Oryctolagus cuniculus: one gene and its partner. The main gene of each other region encodes a partner of the protein of the gene in region 2 in a complex. Links are inferred from orthologs where the notes say so. Each region holds a gene or a part of one and is shown on either strand. Other genes may lie near its edges.

Region 1 (3,942 bases), on a different chromosome or scaffold from region 2:
GACTGCAGCACGGGTGGGTGGGTGGGTGAGCAGCTGCCGCTCCCATACTAAAAGGAAGTGACACTGGACTAAGAACAGTTCATCGCGTTCCAGAAAGCTCTTCACCGCCAGCTTTTACAAGAAACGTGAGCTGGTCCTGATGCAACACGGACAGGGCTCCAGTGTTCGAGAGAGGGGCTTCCGAGCAAACCCGAGCCCAGCCACGGCGCGCCACTGACTGGCGGGTTCAACACGAGCGCGCCGGCCTCCCATGCGTCTTCCAGGAAAACCCTGAACACCAGAGGCAACGATACCAAGGAGGGGGTCGGAGAAAAAGCTAAAAAGCGGCCAAGGCGTCCCCGGGAGACCCGGGGCGCGCGAAGTCCGCCGAACTTTCCGGGCCTGCAAGCGGCTCCGTGGGGGCGGCTCGTCCGGCGGCCCCGCCCTTGCGGAGGCTCCATTTCCCCACCTCCCCGGAGTATTTGCTCCCCGGACTGCGGGGGCGGGCAGAGGCGCGGAACGAAGGGGCCGCCGAGCGCGCAGACGCGGCGAGAGCGACAGGTGGGCGCGGGCCAGAGCCCGAGGCGCGCGGGCTCGGGCGGGCGGCACCCGCGAGCCCTCCGGGACGCCGTAGCCCCGCCCCCTCCGGCGCGTGGCGCCCGTGACGCTGGGCGCGCGGGCCGCTCTCCTTCCAGAGGTCGCTCTTGTCCGAACGGTCGGCCTGCGCTGCGCCTGCGTGGTCGGGAGGGGAAGTGAGGCGGTTTCTTGGGCGCCTTTTCCGGCAGCGGCAGCGGCAGAGCTGGGAGGAGGTGGCGGCGGCCGGAGCGAGCCCGTGCTCGGGGCGGCGGCTGGAGGTAACCCCCACCACCACCACCCGGCACCGACACCCGGGGGCCGAGCTGTTAAGGCGGGCGGCCTCGGCCTCCGCGCCCGCTCCCGTTCGGAGCTCCGGCGGTAACTCCCTTCTCCTTCTCTGTGTCTCCGCAGGCAGCGCGCTGAGTTCCCGCGAGGATCCATGACCTGACGGGACGCCGGCGCCGCGCTGCCTGACGGGTGGCCTGGGTCGGTGGCGAGCCCGGTAGTCGGCGGGCCGTCGGGCGGGCGGAGGAACGGGCACGGCGGCGGCGCTCGCGCGGCGCCTGCGGGGGGGAAGGGCAGTTCCGGGCCGGGCCGCGCCTCAGCAGGGCGGCGGCTCTCCGGGCGCAGACTCAGGGCCCCGGCGGCGGCGGCGGCTGGAGGAACCAAGTTGTGCGGGTCGGTGATGCCCGAGTGAGCGGCAGGCCCGGGCCTCTCGCCCCGTAGGAGGCGACTCCCACGCAGGCCGCACGGGCGCCCTCGCGGCAGGGAGGCTTCGTTTCGGTTTCGCGGCGGCGGCGGCGGCGTTGTTGGCTTGAGGGGGAACCGGGACACCTGAATGCCCCCGGCCCCGGCTCTTCCGTCGCGATGGGGAAGGTGCTATCCAAAATCTTCGGGAACAAGGAAATGCGGATCCTCATGTTGGGCCTGGACGCGGCCGGCAAGACCACAATCCTGTACAAGTTGAAGCTGGGCCAGTCGGTGACCACCATCCCCACCGTGGGCTTCAACGTGGAGACGGTGACTTACAAAAACGTCAAGTTCAACGTGTGGGATGTGGGAGGCCAGGACAAGATCCGGCCGCTCTGGCGGCACTACTACACCGGGACCCAGGGTCTGATCTTCGTGGTGGACTGCGCCGACCGCGACCGCATCGACGAGGCCCGCCAGGAGCTGCACCGCATTATCAATGACCGGGAGATGAGGGACGCCATAATCCTCATCTTCGCCAACAAGCAGGACCTGCCCGATGCCATGAAACCCCATGAGATCCAGGAGAAACTGGGCCTGACCCGGATTCGGGACAGGAACTGGTATGTGCAGCCCTCCTGTGCCACCTCAGGGGACGGACTCTATGAGGGGCTCACATGGTTAACCTCTAACTACAAGTCCTAATGAGCATTCTCCACCCAGCCCCCGGAAGGAGAGAAATCAAAAACCCATTCATAGGATTATCGCCACCATCACCTCTTTCAATCGCCACTTTCTCTTCTTTTGAATTTGAACTCTGGAGTTACAGTTCTACGGTTTAGGGAGGGGGGGTTGGGGTTTTTCTTTTTTTTTTGCTTTTTTTTTTTTTCTTTTCTTTATTCCGCTTTGCGTTAGGATGCTCTGATTTGACGTTTGACATGAACACAAAGTGCTAGGTGCTCTTGTTGACTTCCAGCAAATGGGGTGGGGGAAATACAGCAGTTCTTGGTAAAGTCCTTTATAATAATGGTTTGATTTTTTTATTTCTAGAGAATCTTTTTCCCCCCCAAATGTATGCTTTTTTCCTTTTTTTTTTATCCAGTTTCCTTATCACTTGCTGTAGATGGCTTATTTTGCATTCATGCAGACTATGTTGCAAGTCTGTTTCATCTAGTAAACTGAAAATTATTGCTTAATCAAACTGCCGTTTGTCTTTTATATTTAAGGCTCCCCCCCTTATGAATTCTAACTTAGTAATTTCAAATGTGACCTAAGACCAGTATAAGTAAACTTAGCCCACAGTGGCAAATAATGAGTAATATCATTGTAATATGTTCCAGTTGCACATCAGTATGTTAAACAGGTAATGTAAGAACTTATTTGAAATGTCAGCTATTAACTCCTAAGACATACATCATGCATGAGTAGGAATAAAACCCAGGGTCGTCATAACATAGCAAACTTAACACTGCAAAAAATATGAAAGTATAACCCGCCAAGGACATGAGGTTTTTTTTCACTGCAAAGTTAGCAACTTTTCCTTTTTTTAACATCAAAAATAGACTCCTTCCAGAAAATGGAGCAATAATGGTGTGTGCCACACACAGATATCTGTAGATATTTTAAGCGACTTTTGGGCAAAACTGGAATACTTATACATTGTTTCAAGTGTCTTAAGAGCAGTAGTATTAAAGTTACTGAAACATTAGTTTGTTCATTAATAAAGCATTTAATGATTCAAGTTATATGCACCTTTTACCTAGATGGAAAAATACACATTCCTGTTTTCACATTACTGCAACTGACTAAGCTGAAGATATATCATTTTTTATAGATGAGTGATCCACATCTCCTTTAATTAGAACACTGGAAAAGATGTTTTATAAAAAAGATATTTAATTTTGTTTGATTGTGGGATTAACTCGTGCAAATAGTAAGACAACCTGTTGGTTCAATAGTACACTGTCTCCTTTAAGAAAGGCAATGTGATGAATGAATGTTGGATGTGTAGACTTAAGGGATGACAAAGGGGAAGTGGGCTGAAGAGAGAACCTACAGATGACAATGAATGTAAACTTATTTTTCTTCAAGGGTAAGCAGTGTGCTCACTGGTGATATCCAGATCCTAACAGAATTACTTGGGTAGCAAGTTAGGACCAGTAGCTAGATTGAGACCACTATGGTAGTATTTTGAACCAAATGTTAATGCTTGATACAGAGTTGTGAAGCACCATCTGGTTCTTATATAGCCTTAAGGATTAATTTTAGTGATCCTCAAGGAATTAAACTTAGGGAATTTCAGAAATGTAGACTGCAAAGGCAGTATACAGGAAAAAGTGGAGTGGGTTTCGTTTATGAGGGTGTCTGAAAACAAAACTGAGCGGGATATCATGGTATAGTTGGACAGTATTGGTCCTTCATGCTTTGGCCATATTGTATAATGGAGCTTTTACCAAAGATATCTGAGAATCATAAGGCTATTTTAAAAAAAAAAATCAACCATTCAAAGTAAAACTCTTGACAAAGCATTTTTCTTCAAGCAGATGAGAAAAGGTGCTATGTTGTAGGCTCCGGCTGGTACAAAGGGATTTTTGAGTTCAAGATGCAACTAAAGTATAAAGTAGTCAGTTTCACTTTAGTGAAAGTATCTCTAAAAATGAAGCTGATCAAACACATCCTAAGAACATTATGGTTGCT
Region 2 (3,500 bases):
ATTAATTATCCTGGGGTCAGTGCTGTGGCATAGCGAGTAAAGCAGTTGCCTGCAATGTCAGCATCCCATATGGGTGCCAGCTCGAGACCCGGCTACTCCACTTTTGATCCAGCTCTCTGCTGTGGCCTGGGACAGCAGCAGAAAATGGCCCAAGTGTGTGGGCCCCTGCACCAGCATGGGAGACCCAGAAGAAGCTCCTGGCTCCTGGCTTCAGATCAGCATGATTCCAGTCATTGCGGCCATCTGGGGAGTGAATCAGCAGATGGAAGACCTCTCCCTCTCTCTCTGCCTCTCAAATAAATCTTTAAAAAAATTAGTTATCCTAAGTACATATAGTACCTTAAAGATATTAGTGAGACTTTAATTTTTTAATGTTAGTTTATTTTTATTTTTATAAAGCTTTTATTTAATGAACACAAATTTCATAGGTACAACTTTAGGAATATAGTGGTTCTTCCCCCTATACCCGCTCTCCCACCTCCGCTCCAATCCCACCTCCTACTCCCTCTCCCATCCTATTCTTCATTAAGATTCATTTTTAATTAACTTTATATACAGAAGATCAATTCTATACTTAGTAAAGATTTCAACAGTTTGCACCACACACACACACACAACATATAAAGTACTGTTTGAGAACAAGTTTTGTAGTTAATTCTCATAGTACAACTCATTATGGACAGAGGTCCTACATGGGGAGTTAGTACACGGTAACTTTTGTTGTTAATTTAACAACTAATACTCTTATTTATGACGTCAATGACCACCCCATCCCAGGCTCTTGTCATGAGCAGCCAAGGTTATGGAAGCCTTTTGACCACAAACTGTCAGTATTTAGACAAGGCCATGAGCAAAGTGGAAGTTCTCTCCTCCCTTTAGAGAAAAGTACATTCTTCTTTGATGGCCCTTTCTTTCCACTGGGGTCTAGTGAGACTTTTAAAACCTTTGCATTTTCAAGATAAAGATAAATTTCTTCAGTTTTTTTAGAAAATTGGTTTTTACTGATATCATTAAAATTTTTAGTGTAGTTAAAATATACATAATATAAGCCGGCGCCGTGGCTCAATAGGCTAATCCTCCACCTTGCGGCGCTGGCACACCGGGTTCTAGTCCCGGTTGGGGCGCCGGATTCTGTCCCGGTTGCCCCTCTTCCAGGCCAGCTCTCTGCTATGGCCAGGGAGTGCAGTGGAGGATGGCCCAGGTGCTTGGGCCCTGCACCCCATGGGAGACCAGGAAAAGCACCTGGCTCCTGGCTCCTGCCAGGATCAGCGCGGTGCGCCGGCTGCAGCGGCGGCCATTGGAGGGTGAACCAACGGCAAAAGGAAGACCTTTCTCTCTCTGTCTCTCTCTCACTGTCCACTCTGCCTGTCAAAAAAAAAAAAAAAAAAAAAAAAAAAAAAAAACATAATATAAAATTTGCCATTTTAACCACTTTAAAGTGTGCAATTCCATGGCATTAATTACATTTATGTTATGCAGGCATCAGCACTGTTTCTAAACCTTTTCATCACTCATAGAAATTCCAACACCATTAAACAATAACTCCCTATGCTCGCCTCCCTCATCCCAACCTCTAATAACCTCTAATTCTATTTCTGTGTCTGAACTTGCCTATTCTAGATCTCTCAGATAAATGGAAGCATACCAAATTTGTCCTTTTATGTCTGGTTCATTTCATTTAGTAAATTTCTAGGGTTAACTTATGTCAAATACCATGTACCAGAAATTTTATCTACAGTCAATAATATCATACACCAAAAAATTTGTTAGCAGAGTAGAGCTCATATTAACTGTTCCTACAATAATTTTAAAAAAATGAAAAAAAGTCATTATTCTTTATGGTTGAATATGTGAATATGATTTCATTGTGTAGGTAAGTCCCAAACAAATTTTTTAAAATCATCTTTTATTTTTTATTTTATTTTATTTTATTTTTTTACAGGCAGAGTGGACAGTGAAAGAGAGAGAGACAGAGAGAAAGGTCTTCCTTTACCATTGGTTCACCCTCCAATGGTCACTGCGGCCAGGGCACCGCGCTGATCCGAAGCCGGGAGCCAGGTGCTTCTCCTGGTCTCCCATGCGGGTACAGGGCCCAAGCACTTGGGCCATCCTCCACTGCACTCCTGGGCCACAGCAGAGAGCTGGCCTGGAAGAGGGGCAACCGGGACAGAATCCGGTGCCCCGACCGGGACTAGAACCCGGTGTGCCGGCACCACAAGGTGGAGGATTAGCCTATTGAGCCACGGCACCAGCCCATCTTTTATTTTTTTAAAAGATTTATTTCATTTATTTGAAAGGCAGAATTACAGAGAGAGGAGAAGTCTTCCATCCTCTAGTTCACTCCTTAAATGACTGCAACAGCAGGAGCTGGAGCAGGCCTAACTCAGGAGCCAGGAGCTTCATCTAGATCTCCCATGTGGGTATAGGGGCCCAAGCATTTGGGCCATTCTCCACTGCCTTCCCAGGCACACCAGTAGGGAGCTGGATCAGAAGTGGAGCAGTTGGGACTTGAACCAGCACATGCATACGTAGTGCTGCATGCGGTGGGTTAACCTGCTACTCCACAGTGCTGGCCCCACAAACTAATTTTTAAAGTAGTATTTTAATATCACATAATATTTAACCCAGAACTTGATAAGACCTTTCCTTATTAATCAATTTAAAGTCCTTTGCCCCGCTTCCCAGTTATCTTGTCATATTACCACTGTTTTACTTTCTTCACAGTATTTTTCAATTATCTGAAAATATCTTGTTTATTCAATAGTTTTCAGTTTATTTTTAATATTCCCCAACTAGAACATAAACTCCATTGCACAACTACATCTCCAAAAGCCAAATTGGTTCCTGCCTAAAAGGAGATGTAGATGCTAGGAAAAGGGGCAGAGTGATAGTGACTCACTCTCACCTGGAACACTTGCAATGCACAGAACATGAGAATTGCAAACAGTGAAACTGTCTAGGATGTTGCCTGGTTGAATAGCATCAATGATGATAACTTTTGTAGCTGAATGTGTGCTGGTACAGATCCAGACTTGACTGGATAATTCTTCTTGACTCTTTAATTCCTTTTGCTGGTCCTGAAAAGGAAAGTAAGGAAAATGAATGAGTGAAATCAGATGCATGTACAATATTCAAAGCTTGTGCTCTGCATGGGAGACATAGAGGAGGCTCCTGGCTTCAGATCGGCACAGCTCCAGCCATTGCAGCCATCTGGGGAGTGAACCAGCAGATGGAAGACCTCGCTCTCTCTCTGCCTCTCTGTAACTCTGCCTTTCAAATAAATAAATAAATCTTAAAAAAAAAAAAAAAAGGCTATGCTAGTACAGTAAAAGGCAATACTACTTCAAATTTATTTCCAGATTATTTGTAAGAGTAAAAACACAACCACCCATCATTATTAATCAGCAGACTAAAAGTTAACAGTTAATTAGATCAGCAAGGTTCAGAGTGCCTGGGTTTGAGCTTCAGGCTCTGCTCCTGATCCAAACTGAATTGTACAC

The links. The genes of interacting proteins can lie anywhere in the genome.
Region 1: the proteins of SPAG9 (region 2) and ARF6 are in contact, whole or in part, in a crystal structure (PDB 2W83), measured with the Homo sapiens proteins. The link is inferred for Oryctolagus cuniculus from reciprocal best matches to the Homo sapiens genes SPAG9 and ARF6. Residues at the interface, in NP_001124000.1 of Homo sapiens: Lys431, Asn432, Ile435, Val438, Asp439, Thr442, Cys443, Asp446, Val447, Gln449; in NP_001654.1 of Homo sapiens: Glu13, Arg15, Lys34, Phe47, Val49, Glu50, Thr51, Thr53, Lys58, Asn60, Trp62, His76, Tyr77, Thr79.

Annotation. Positions count from the first base shown.
Region 1 is NC_091443.1:26,198,546-26,202,487, reverse strand, and holds the start of ARF6 (ADP-ribosylation factor 6), read left to right. Parts: upstream 1-1,142; 5' UTR 1,143-1,422; coding exon 1,423-1,950; 3' UTR 1,951-3,942. UniProt on the Homo sapiens protein: GTP-binding protein involved in protein trafficking that regulates endocytic recycling and cytoskeleton remodeling. GTP-bound form plays an important role in the transport of multiple palmitoylated proteins form the Golgi to the plasma membrane.
Region 2 is NC_091448.1:26,795,299-26,798,798, forward strand, and holds part of SPAG9 (C-Jun-amino-terminal kinase-interacting protein 4), read right to left. Parts: intron 3,078-3,500; coding exon 2,906-3,077; intron 1-2,905. UniProt on the Homo sapiens protein: The JNK-interacting protein (JIP) group of scaffold proteins selectively mediates JNK signaling by aggregating specific components of the MAPK cascade to form a functional JNK signaling module.